Arabidopsis thaliana: one gene and its partner. The protein of the gene in region 2 interacts with the protein of the main gene of each other region in a pairwise test. Each region holds a gene or a part of one and is shown on either strand. Other genes may lie near its edges.

Region 1 (5,596 bases), on a different chromosome or scaffold from region 2:
ATTCCTTGGTAGCATAGGCTTTATTCCATGGTAACCTCTTAGTCTCTATTCTTCCCCTTTGCATATCAGGTGATGCGTCCCAACCCTGGTGATGAGTATACTATTACTGAGCTTAACCAAGTCAGCTGGTCATTCGAGGGTACCCCACAGGTAGCTTTCAATTGCCTGTCTGGCAAAATGAAAAGAAAAAAAAGACTGGCAAAACTTTTCACACTTGCTTTACTGAGCTCATGCGTCTTTCTTAATCAATCTTCCGTACACTGAGAGATCATGTTTTTCCTTTTCAGATTCTTGTACCCATTGCAGATGGCTCGGAGGAAATGGAAGCTGTTGCTATCATTGATGTCCTGAAGCGGGCAAAAGCAAATGTTGTCGTAGCTGCGCTTGGTAACAGTTTGGAAGTGGTAGCATCTCGGAAAGTCAAGCTGGTGGCAGATGTGCTTCTCGACGAGGCTGAAAAGAATTCGTACGATCTGATTGTGTTGCCTGTGAGTGCTAACTTCTTCAAATTACTAAAGTTTATAGTGTCAAGCAAGTTGAGGCCAACATGATGAACTTCTCTTTTTATTATCAGGGTGGTCTCGGCGGTGCTGAAGCATTTGCAAGTTCGGAGAAGCTAGTGAATATGTTAAAGAAGCAGGCGGAATCAAACAAACCATATGGAGCAATTTGTGCCTCTCCTGCTCTGGTGTTTGAGCCACATGGTTTACTCAAGGTACGAGAGTAATCACAATAGCACACACATTTGCTTAGATGTGTAGGATCATTACTATATATCCGATGGCATGGAGTATTCTGTTATCAAACCGTTATTTTTGCACTTAAAACTAAGGGAAGGGTCACAATTTTTAATGGATTTTTTTACAGGGTAAGAAGGCAACAGCGTTTCCAGCAATGTGCAGCAAACTGACGGACCAGAGTCACATCGAGCATCGAGTCTTGGTGGACGGCAATCTCATAACGAGCAGGGGTCCAGGAACCTCATTGGAGTTTGCACTTGCAATTGTAGAGAAGTTTTACGGGCGCGAGAAAGGACTTCAGCTCTCAAAGGCAACACTTGTGTAAACTCATGAGTATCTTAGGTAAGAGTGACTTTAATAAGAAAAAGGCTTTAGTATCAAACGATCAATGAGTGTACCGTTGTTGTGGTGAGCTTTGTACTAAGTGTGATGCTTAAAACTGTCTTATAAATAAACGAGTTTACTCTGTTTTTATCAGAAAGTTTTTTTGTTACTTTACATTGCGAATTTTAGAATATAAGAAAGTGCTGAACAAAAAGAAAGAATATGAGAAAGTAAAATTTCTTATAAAATTACAAAACAAATTGAATTATATCTGCAGATCATTGTTATTAACCTAGCTTCTTGTTCTGTAACATCTGTACCATAAGATGAAGAATCCAAGGACTCTGTACCCGACGATGAAACTTGCCATGATACCAAGATTGCTCCATTTCTGAGACTCTTTGAGGTCTTGTTGTTTTAAGAACACGTCTCCTCGATACTCGTTGATCATCAGGCATTCGAATGGATACTTGAAGAGGCTGAGATAATGCATGAACTCCCAGTAAACGGGGATCCTGTCCTTTGCAATGAAATACCCGGAGAAGAGGAAGAAAGATCCCATGAGACCTGAGATTACTGATGTCCCCATTATGAAGTTTGGGACAAGAGCACTGAAACATGCGACAAAAGAGTTTGACATCAGAAGAACAATCCATATCACCAATGAGAAGTAGAGGAAGCCGTCTAGCTCTCTTCTGAGACCGACCAGCCAATAAACCGGCGTAGCAAAGAGCATGCTTATGATCAACAAGAAGGGAATGAATATGAGAGTATCTGCTAAAACGTAAGACAAAACTCTGTAAGCCCTTCTCGATGTCTCTCTCATTAGGATTCTCCTGTCTTGCAAGAAAATTGGAAGTCCCTCTGTTGTGGAAGATAGCAGGAAAGTGAGGATAAAGGCGAAGAACCCGGTTCGCAAGACTTTCGCTTCTTTCTTTTGATTTCCTACGTTCAAGTAAATCGACCCCAGTATAAGACCGGCAATGGAAGCTTGTAAGGCTCTGGTTGTGAACAATTGCTTGGTTCTGAAGATGTTCTTGCAAGATCTTTGCCCGAGTATCTGCACTTCCTCTAACACTGAGTTGCTGTGAGAATCAGATTGATGAAGCTCTCCTCCTGCACTAATATAGCAACTCTTCCATGTTTTGCTATGACCATAACATGAGATTTCTCTGCAACTCTGGGTTCTGATCGGTTCAAGACTCCCTGCAATATCAATTGCATACTCCAAGACATTTACCCGCCTAGGAATCTGGTGACCGGAGAACTTAATCTTCTGATGAAGGCTATAAACTGATCCGTTTTGAACAACCATCCCGTTAGAGAGCAACACTATCCGGTCTATCTGCTCGAGTATGCGAAAACCAGGCTGGTGAATCGTCAGAACAATGGTTTTACCTTGTTTAATCGTCATATCTTTGAGAAGCGTCACAACTTGAAGAGCGGACGCAGAATCCAAACCAGAGGTTGGCTCATCGATCAATATAACATTTGGATCATGAACAAGTTCAACTCCAATAGAAACCCTTCTTCTCTCTCCTCCAGAGATTCCAGATCTTGATCCTTGACCGATCCTTGAATCCGCAACATGTTCTAGACCAAGCTCTTGAATCAGCCTCTTCACCTTTGCAGCCGCGTCTTTCCTCTTTGTCTTCAGCCTCAAGAGTGCGCTGTACGTCAGTGTTTCTTGCACCGTAAGAAACGGAAACAGAGCATCTTCTTGTGGCACAAACCCTGAAACCCTCCTGTACTCAGGACCATCCATAGGCCTACCGTTGACAAGCACTTGCCCTGAAACTTTCCCATGAGAAACTTTTCCGGCTAGAATCTCCAGCAACGTGGTTTTCCCTGCTCCGCTTGGACCCGCGATCGCAGTGATCTCCGCGGATCTTGCATCACAAGAAACATCCTTTAAGATAACCTTTTCCTCCTTCTCACTCAACAAACCACATAAATTAGAAAACTTTGGAGTGTTTCCGCCTATTCTATACGACAGATTCTTGGTTTCTAATCTATATGAGATTTCCCGGCCACCGGGAATAGGAGCTTTTACCGGCAATTCCATCTAAGAAAGAAAGAAGGAAAAAGAAAGCATCAAACTTTGAGAGATAGAGAAATCAACAAATTGAGCAAAGAGTGTGAGATTAAGTGAAGAATAAATGGTAGAGAAGATGAACTAACACACCAAACTTTAAGGAACCTCTCCTTTATTATTCAAACATTCAAAAGCTTCAAGACTTTATTAGCTTTCTCTTATTGCCTTCCATGAAAACCGAAAAGCACTTGACTATGACTAAATTAAACCAAAGATATTTATGATTCCAAGCTTAAAATGCTTAATTTGTTTTTCTTAATAAAGAATTTGTTCGTAAATAATATTGATACAGTTAGATAAATTTATATGAAATTAAACATTTGTTGTTTTTCTTGTATTTTTTAATTTCTAATGAAATTGGTTGACCAAAAAAAATATCTAAGAAATTAAGATATGTAGTTGGTTCTTTTTTTTTTTTTTTTTTAATTGGGTTTTGAAATTGTGAAGAGGTACAAGAAAAGCAAAAAAAGAATTAGTTAGAAAGAGATTTGGTTTCGTCTAGAGATTCTCAAATTCGGGTGAGCTGAAAAATTGACCGTGAAATGTTTGCCTTGTTGGTGAACTTGTTTTATCTAATTTATTAGTTTTTTCTAACAAAGAAAGAGAGGAAACCCAGTTTGGTTGTTATATATTACCTACAATATTTAATTACGTGTTTCGAACTCGCTTACGGAAATTCAGATGTTTAATTAACAAGGAATAATCACGTAAGAAACCTCACTAATTTAATTATTTTTGGATAATAATAATAAAAAGACGCATTATAAGATGTTGTCTAGGTGGGCATTCGGTTAGATGTGGCTGCAAAGGTGAAGGGGCTGATTCAAAGTTGTGACGAAAAAAATCGAATTTTGATTTGGGTTTGGAAAAAACACTTAAAGTTGTGACTAATAAACTTTAATTCGGTATAAAATTAAAAACAACTTGGACCAAACGTAAGCGGGTGACTGGAAAAACGATATTTTTATACCAGTACAATTTGCAAAGTATTGTTTTCTTATATAAAACATACTGTACAATGTTAATTCTTTACCCAAATTCATAAAAAAAAAAAAATTATATCCAAACTTTATAGGTCGCACGTATTTTAGGATCTGCAATAACAAATGTTAGTTAATACTAACATACGTCGACTCAAATGACCCATGTTTAATGAATTAGCATCATCTTCAATCAAACCATGTCGTTTTGATCACAATTTTTCTTTTTCTTTTTTAAACCTAAGATTCAAATCCAAAACTAAAAGTAAAAAATAATATAAAAACACGAAATGAAACAATCTCGACAATCCAAAGAGCAAACAAAATCTTCAAAGTTGCGAGAGAGAGTTTTTTTCTCTAGACCTAACAATGTGTATTAGCAGGTTTCTGCAATGGGTGTTGCCAATCTTCGTGTTATGCATTATGTGCATAAAGATAAGGCCTTCGCGTACTGGTCTTGTACATGTGTCTACGCACCTGAATCTCGGTATTGCTCTGAAGAGCACAAAAAGATGGCCTTAGCAGAACGGGAATATGAGCTACCACATAACTTTGCCAATGTCCATTTGCATACGAATATGGAGGATCTTGTCCTACCAAAGATTATAAGCTATTTGAGAGATCCTCAACTAGGTATCATTGAAATACCTAATCTACAATACATAGACGACGTTTTTAATGTCACTCCCACTGAGCAACCAGATATGTTCTCTACTAACCTCGACGAAAGAGAAGAATTCAACATATGGTTGTTTATGATGATTTCGTGACAAATGGGTTTCTCATGTCAATTGAAATAACAATGGGACGATTTTGAAAATAATGTAAAATAGTAATGATATGTACTACAATTTTTAGTTTTACATAATATCCTTGAAATTTGAAAGATCCATCTAAACCCATTTATGCTTGGGGTTTTTCCATTTTCACTAAAACCTCTCCATTTTTATCATCTTCCAATGGCGATTTCTCGTTCCATCCTTCACCGGCCAGCTAAATCCTTTTCCTCACTGTTCACTCGTTCCTTCTCTTCGTCATCTCCTCTCGCCAATTCCCCTACTGTTTCTCGATCTGCGTCTTCGTTGTTGAATCGTTCACGTTCTCTCGTTTCTGGATTCTCAGCGTTGGTCCGTGCCGGTGTATCTCTAGCTAGGTGTATGTCTACGCAGGTTACTTCCGCTTCGCTGAATGATCCGAGCCCTAACTGGTCGAATCGGCCACCAAAGGATACGATTTTGCTTGATGGTTGTGATTTCGAGCATTGGTTTGTTGTCATGGAAATCTCTCTAGAGACGAGATTATTGATTACTACATCAAAACCCTAGCTCAAGTTGTTGGCAGGTATATATATAGATCCATTTCCACAGTGTTCTTTGATCTGTTTCTAGAGTCTTACTTTGTTAAGTGTGTATCTTATTTTTGCGTTTTAGTGAAGAGGAGGCAAGGATGAAGATTTA
Region 2 (7,924 bases):
TTCATCTTTCTCTCCTCACTTTCTCTCTCTTCGCCGACGACAAATACAATCCCATCTTCGCAAACAATCTCTCCCTCTGAAGAAAAGATCTCACCGGAGATCGCTCCTCTCCTCCCTTCACCCGCCGTCTCCTCCACTCAAACCATCCCTTCTTCTTCAACACTTCCTGAACCAGAAAACGACGACGTTTCCGCAGATCCTGATCCCGCCTTCGCTCCATCGGCTTCTCCTCCGGCTTCATCTCTTGCTTCTCTGTCTTCTCAAGCTCCCGGAGTTTTCATCTACTTTGTCTTCGCCGCCGTCTATTGTTTCTCGCTCCGGCTTCTTGCCGTTTCAGCTATATAGGTCATTCATATATTTTAGACCACGTACGTCATTATTTTCATGAGTTTATTTGTCCCCTAAAAATAACGAATAAAATTAGATTTAGTTTGATTTTCAATTTTTTTTTACTATTTGTATTTTTTATTGTTCTCCACTTAACATTTTGTTACAGTTTTAGATTGGTTTAGATGAAAAACGCAAGTAATATATTACGTCAGAACCACATAATTGATGCATAATTAACTTAAGAACTCTGGATAAAAATAAAAATAAAAACTAATTTACCGTTAAGTGATTCAATACACTTTGAGGACTTATACTTTTCTCTTCTTTTCATTTCATTTGTTCGTTTACTATACACTAACTTTTTTTTTTTTTTTTATCGCTAAGCTAAAGAACCTTTTGAAAAAGTTGAAATTACGTTTCAAATTAAAGTGACGTCATATGCATGCTTTACAGTATACTGCAGTTTATAGTAGTATCAAAATCAAACGTTCCAAAAATTTGTACTGTTTACATGCAAATAACACTTGAGTAATTATATGTAGACTACTAATTAATTTCGACATAAGTTTATGTAAAACACCAGTTTTTTATGATTATTTTTGTCTTAATCTTGAGACGTGTTTATGAACTGAATGAATGTATTACTTTGTGAATTAACGTATTTAAGTATAGTGCATTATTGCATAATTCCTAAAATGCCACAAGGTTAGAGGCGCATGCATGTGAGTTACTGCATATGCTGGCCTCACGGCTAAAAGCAACAACAAAAAAAGGTGCCTTCTTTTCTTGTCCCACACTTTATCTTATTTCTGGGGTTTCAAAGTCTCAATATTAAAATTAATAATATCTAGGTGAGAAGAAATATGTAAAGGACGTTTCTTGTTTTCACATTATAGGGTTTTATGCGTGAAAGATTGTATATGTTACTATAAGGTTGATTGATACCCACTCACTTTGTCCTTATATACGTGCAAGCATAAAAATAAGATTAGATTTCTCAAAAGTTATATTTATATATAAGTTATCAGTTTATTTGTATATTGTCAACAAGTTTCTTGCAAAACCCAGTAATAAATTATGAACATTAGAAAGATTCGTGTCCCTTTGTTTTGTATAAGAAGTACAAGAAAGTGTACACAAACTTTAGATTAAAAAATCTGCTCACGTCCCACCAACGCAAACTCGAATCTCCAAACGCAGACGCTAACGTCTGCATATGAGCTAGGTGTACTCAAGTCACCCCTATATCAGTCCCTATTTACATGGACAGTTACAATTTTTCAACAAAACCACAAACTCAAACAACGAAAAACGGACCGGCTTTACAAAATCACACCACAAACCAAAAAATCACACCGGGCAAATAAGAACTCACATCCAAAACCATTATACCAAAACTGGAGGCAAAAAATTAGAGCCGGCCCATGTTGCGTCTGCGTCCAACAACGCCAAAAAACGCGATCAACAAGTCAAAGATCTTACTCATGTCATTATGGTCATCAAGGTTCGCCGTTTTGTTCCTTGTTTTCTACTTCTTCACTCCATTGCGGAACACTATTCTCAATGGGTGAACCTGGAACTACTGGTGAAACGCCTCGGCCACCAAATATGCGACGCATAACTGCGTTATCGAATTTCCTCCAGTAATGATGAATGGCCCTGGACGGAGATTTCCAGAACATTCTGAAGCTAACATGTTGTTCAGGGTCGTATTCTGACTGGCCTTGGGTACTGAGCAACGGCTCATGGAGGATCGGATCGTGGAAAGAAGATCTTAGTGTGATCTGCAGCGCGGTCGTGGAGGACTGTTTTGATGAAGGCTGCAAATGTTTGACTAACGGTTTGGTTAGCAATCCAAACACCTGCAAAAAAGGTTAGAGATTAGGTTACGTGTTGGATAGGCTAAACCCGATTTGACTTCAGTAGGAAGCAAACCGGTTTGAACAAAGTGTTGAAACGTACCACAGTACTGAAAAGAACAACAGTGATGGTACTGGTGATCATGATAGCGTTCCCAAGAACCTTGGTGTGTCCTGAAGTTGTGAACTATGATGTAACAGAGAGAAGAGATTAAGTCATGGGAACTTATTAAAACCCAAAGATCACTTTTTTATCTTTGTTTCTTGTAGTTCACGGATCAAAACCTGGTTATAAGCAAGAGCCATTGACACTGCACCACGCATCAGACCAGCCCACCAAATGGTTACTTGTTTCTTTAAGTCTATTTTCTCATCCGGTGAAGACTTTGTTAAATTGGACAAGAAGGAAAGTGGAAACACGAACGCGGCGCGACCCAGAAGAATAAGCCCAAGAAGTATTGAACTAACTCCAATCGACTGACCAGGACTGCCAAAATTGTTAAACAATATTATGAAAATGAAACAAAAGATATTGATGTATTATCACACTCTAAGTCTCACCTGTTGCGTACAACGTCCCATTTCTCGATATCGAGAGCGTCCATTCCAACGTAAAGGAAGATAAAAATCTCAGCTAGAAATGACATTGCAGCAAAAGTATGTCTACGCCAAGAAAACGTATACAGTTTAGTCAATCAAGCACAACAAATTAGTAGAGTTATTTTCTAATTATTGGGAGAAGAAAAAGAAACTTACTTTGTAGTGACCTTGGATTTATCTGTAACATTGTGCCATGTATAGTGAGACATAACAATCCCGCAGAAGAACACAGTCAAGATAGAGCTCAAGTGGAATAGCTGCAAAGGATATATGTATCATGTTTTCATTTTCTGTTGGAAAAAATGTAACCAAAACGTTTCAAATTTTTCTTATTACCTCTGCCAACATATATGATAAGTAAGCCAATAGCATCATAAGTGCAACTTCACGATCAGTAGAGTGCCTGATGTTACAAAACAAAACAAAAACAAAGCAAAAGGATTATTAAAGAAAGGGTAAAATCACATTTTTAACCATCAGTAGATACGAATATACCTTCCTATATAGAGCTTCTTGATAACAAAAGCACTGAGCAATCCAGCCTAAAAGAAAACGAGTGAGAATTTTTCGGGTTTAGAAATTTGAGGAGCGGAGAGAAAGAAACTTACTGCAACACCAAGTGCTGTGCTTAAGATAAAGAGGTAAAAAAAGTTTCCAGCAAACTCCAAAGCTATGGCTGAATTGATATTTGTGAGGTCGAATCTCTGTATTGCATTGAAGAGCACGACCGATGTGGCATCGTTCACTACACCTTCTCCAAAGACAAGACTGTACAAGAGAGGTGTCTCGTCTTGATTAAGCACCTAGATTTAACAAAGCGTGCAAGTTAATTTTTGATTAGAAAATGTAGTAGAATAATATCTTTGAATGTTTCAGAAAAAAAGTTCTTACTTGCAAGGTGCAAACAGAGTCTGTAGCAGAGAATATTGCTCCAATGGCTGCAAAATCATCAGTACAGATTTAAACAGTATGAGACTTAATGAATAAGAACTTGAAAAGGGTTTTCTTTGTTTCAGGGTACCTAGATAGTCCGCAATGGTAAGATCACCGATATTCATTTTCTCGAAAAGATGTTTAGCACCTAGCCATAACAAAAACAAAACCGGAAACATCATCAAAATATATGAGACTCATGATATTGAAATGTGGGAGTTGATTGAGATTGGTTTTTTACCAAATGAGATGATAACAAATGAAATGAGAGTTCCAATAGCACCAAATAACATAATGGTCATGAAGTTGCGAAAAAATTGCTTCTTCTTAACCTGAAACCTGTAACAAAAAAATGTGTTACTCAATTCCGACTTTCAATTTTTCATGAAATTCTATATAAAAAGAACTTACCCTGCGTTGAATATAATTGGTGGAAGAAGATAAATAAAGAAGAGATCTTCACTAAACACAAGAATCCTTGAGCTTTTGCCTCCACTTATAAGCAAGATCACAATCCCAGTACACGAACCCTATTTTTGCGTAATCCAAATTTAGAATGTTTCTAAGCAATGTGTTTAAAGATTTGGGGAAACAAAAAAAACGAAGCTTACAATGATAAGAGCAGTGATTGACTCGTTCATCCACCGAGTCTCCTCAAGCAAGTGACCAAGCACGATGCAAGCACAAAGCAAAGCTACGAACAAATTCATGGAGACGACCGATGCATGATCAGAAGCGAAAAGAGCCTCTGTTTTTTCCAGCATTGTGCTTAATCCGATCACCATTTCCAAATCTCAGCTTTAAGAGTATATTTCCTATATATATGTAAAAAAACACGAAGCGTGATTTGTGGAATTTAGATTTCTGATTGAATTAGTATCTAAAATTGTATAGTTTCCTTCTTTAGCCGCCGAGAAAAATTCAAATCACTAAAATTCCTAAATAGGGGAATAATAAAACATTCCAAAATCATAATGTTCCAGAAGAATCAAAACCCTGGAAAATTCCAAGAAAATTTGAAAATTCCTTTAGAGTTTGTGTCAGGAAACATGTAATTTATCAATCTTCATCAACAAGAGCTCAATTTATCACCTCCATGAACAGTAAAAGGATCTAAATTAAAAAGCATCCACAGAAATGTTTTTAAGAAAAAATCGATAAAGCATTCAAACACATATTACCTGGCAGAGTTATGACGAGATTCGAAAGATCGAATGATTCAGTTTGGTCGTAGAGAGGGATGTAACAGTTCTGTTGAAGGGACAGCAAAGAGACGATCGAAGACGAGAGACCGCCAAAGATGGCGTAAATATATAAATAAAGATTTTTTTTGCAGAGAAGCCAAGTGGAATAGAGAGAGGTCAACGGCTTTTAAATCTCATATTAGCTAATCTCCATCGTCTATTTATCCATCTCAAGAACTTTATTCCAATTAAACGGTTGAGATGATTTTGTTACACCGTTGTTATGACCGTAAGTGGAATTAGCTCATTGGTTATCATGTTGTCGTGTAAAAGGAGTATCAAAAAACAACAGAGGGGAACACGCTTTTATTTTTCTTATGACCAAATGTAAATGATCTTAGGATTATTCTCTTTTTAGGAATAAAACTGAATAATATACTGTTTGTACTGTATTCTTTTTATGGCACCGTATTACATAATAGCCAAATACTTCCTTAACAGAACTAAATTACGTACTTTGAATGATAACCAGTTTCATAAACTGACCCCAAAATATTTATTTGAATTATATTAATTGTGATAGATGGGGGTTGTTCTTTCTTATGTCATTCGACGTTTACTTGATAATTAAATATAAGTTGGTCATTTTTTAATAAGGTTTCCACGAATCTCTGATGAAAAATAAATACCAAATAGAGAATTTCTTGGTAATCTACATATGTACTAATTAATAATTATGGACTCTTTTTTTCTTGGTCGTTTTTTTTTTTTTTTTTTGTCATGTTTTCTATATGTACTAATTTTTGGGTCTTGATTAAAATATTGGATGTAAAAAGAGTACTTATTCATCTTCATCATTACAAGGAAATAGCTTTTGTAATATGAATAATTAGATAATACTAGTCGCCCAGATGTTTGTTTGTTCGATTTTTTCTTTCACTGTTCTTATTCTTTGCACTTACAGAGAGGGCAAAAGCCAATTCTAGTGTACCCATTTTGGGGGTCAACATGATTAAGGGTTCATCATTGTACGTCTCGATTTATCCTTTTTCATCGTGTAAATTCCTTTCATCTTCATTATTTTGTTAGAGATGCAAAATTTGTATTCTAAATAAGAAATCAAAAACCATCTTGAAACATAAAAATAGGTAGTTCAATTGTTTGAAGACCAAGAAACTTAGAATTCAAGGCTAAAAGTTCAATTTTTCGGTAAGGGTAAGAAAAACATGTACAGGGCAATAGAACTAGTATAAATTCTTAGATTACAGGCATCTAACATATACACGAAACAAAACAATGTAGTTTTATGATTTTTTGGTAAACTATTGTTTTCAGTTTATTGTATTAATATCTATGAACGTTGTTAACATGTCCGATCCATTGAAAAGAAAAGAAAAACTAGAGAGTTTTTCAAAGCTATTGGGAGGCTTAACTGGTTGGTCAAATGTGAATGAACCAATCCCATGGTACATGGATATTGAAACATTAACAGCAGATTAGTTATAGTAGTGGGTCAAACATGTGACCCTTTAGTTTGGCATTTTGAATGCCTCGTGGTCTGCTTTTGTGTCTCTCCGATCTACATTATTATTATCTATTTACTTTTCTTTTAAGACGCCACACATGTTACATGTATATGACATATAACTATAATACATGTATAAATAAGTGTTGACAATTGGAAATATTTCAGCCTCATACTCATACAGTGAAAAGTAACGAATCTATAGTTTAGCTACTTGGATTATTTAGTTTTGTTTTCTTAAGAAAGAAAGAAGAAAGAAAAGGAATGTAGAAGAAGAAGTAACGAATGATGATAGATTGATAGTGTAAGACACATTAATGACTTCCACATTATGGCCGGTCAAAAGTATCTTTTGATTTTCAATTTTAGCTGTTACACAACAACAACAAAAAATAGATTCTGAATTAGTGATCAATGGTTAAAATATTTTGGTCATTCCTCATCTACGAAAATGAAGATTTGATCACCACCGAAACGTATACAGTAGTTGTTTTTTTCTTAATTTTATTGACAAATTCGTGCAATTAATGAGGCGGCTTTATCTAGTCTAGTTTTAGTTTATATAGTAGTGGATAAAACTAGTCAACGGATTATATGAAAAAATAAGTGAATTTAAGATCAAACTCATACCAAAAACGTCATGTTTATCATTTTTTGTTGTTGTTTTTTCCACACAGGTTTATCATCCTTATCCTATCAGCGAATAATAGAAGAAAAAGTACAAATTCTCTAATAAAGCGGTAAAAGCGTTTAAGAAGATGAAGAAGAAAAAGGAAACGCCTCCAAATCACCATTATTGTCCGAATCTTCTTCGCGTCTCTCACCAACACCACTTCTCCTACCTTCTTCTTCACACCAAATGATTCTCTCGTATAATATTCATCAAACCCAGATCATGTTTTCATCATCAATCATCTCTTAAACTCCTCTATAGATCTCACCGCATGACGTTCCGAAGTTTACTCCAGGAAATGCGGTCTAGGCCACACCGTGTAGTTCACGCCGCCGCCTCAACCGCTAATAGTTCAGACCCTTTCAGCTGGTCGGAGCTCCCGGAGGAGCTGCTTAGAGAAATCCTGATTAGGGTTGAGACTGTTGACGGCGGCGATTGGCCGTCGCGGCGAAACGTGGTGGCTTGTGCCGGCGTTTGTCGTAGCTGGAGGATTCTCACCAAGGAGATTGTAGCTGTTCCTGAATTCTCCTCTAAATTGACTTTCCCTATCTCCCTCAAGCAGGTTCTCTGTAAATTTTGATTTTTGAGTATAAAGTGATCGAATTGAAACATAAAGTTAGCTCCTTTACTTCATCTCATAACATATGACAATTCAGTAGCGTTTGCGGTCGCGTTTTAAGTGTTCTTGTGCTCAGCTCAACAAAAGCTTTTAGTCTCTTTGATCATTGATATATAGATAAACAGTTTCTTGGTTTTGTAAGCTGAAGTATTGGTACTTTTGAATGTATTATATGCAGTCTGGTCCAAGAGATTCTCTAGT

What was found. The genes of interacting proteins can lie anywhere in the genome.
Region 1: the proteins of NHX4 (region 2) and ABCG10 interact in a protein complementation assay, tested with the Arabidopsis thaliana proteins (one large-scale study listed by BioGRID).

Annotation. Positions count from the first base shown.
Region 1 is NC_003070.9:19,860,411-19,866,006, reverse strand, and holds ABCG10 (ABC-2 type transporter family protein), read right to left. Parts: upstream 3,187-5,596; 5' UTR 3,130-3,186; coding exon 1,357-3,129; downstream 1-1,356. Other genes in the region: DJ1B (Class I glutamine amidotransferase-like superfamily protein), read left to right, coding at 70-150, 288-488, 575-715, 868-1,065; AT1G53265 (uncharacterized protein), read left to right, coding at 4,532-4,909; AT1G53260 (uncharacterized protein), read left to right, coding at 5,586-5,596.
Region 2 is NC_003074.8:1,929,009-1,936,932, forward strand, and holds NHX4 (sodium hydrogen exchanger 4), read right to left. Parts: upstream 5,066-7,924; 5' UTR 4,904-5,065; intron 4,630-4,903; exon of another isoform or gene 4,538-4,629; 5' UTR 4,508-4,537; coding exon 4,334-4,507; intron 4,253-4,333; coding exon 4,134-4,252; intron 4,062-4,133; coding exon 3,964-4,061; intron 3,871-3,963; coding exon 3,811-3,870; intron 3,728-3,810; coding exon 3,681-3,727; intron 3,593-3,680; coding exon 3,398-3,592; intron 3,332-3,397; coding exon 3,285-3,331; intron 3,193-3,284; coding exon 3,126-3,192; intron 3,047-3,125; coding exon 2,946-3,046; intron 2,853-2,945; coding exon 2,751-2,852; intron 2,677-2,750; coding exon 2,475-2,676; coding exon of another isoform or gene 2,433-2,474; exon of another isoform or gene 2,377-2,432; coding exon 2,293-2,376; intron 2,193-2,292; coding exon 1,830-2,192; 3' UTR 938-1,829; downstream 1-937. Other genes in the region: AGP27 (arabinogalactan protein 27), read left to right, coding at 1-345; TLP9 (tubby-like protein 9), read left to right, coding at 7,376-7,666, 7,902-7,924. UniProt on the Arabidopsis thaliana protein: May act in low affinity electroneutral exchange of protons for cations such as Na(+) or K(+) across membranes. May also exchange Li(+) and Cs(+) with a lower affinity.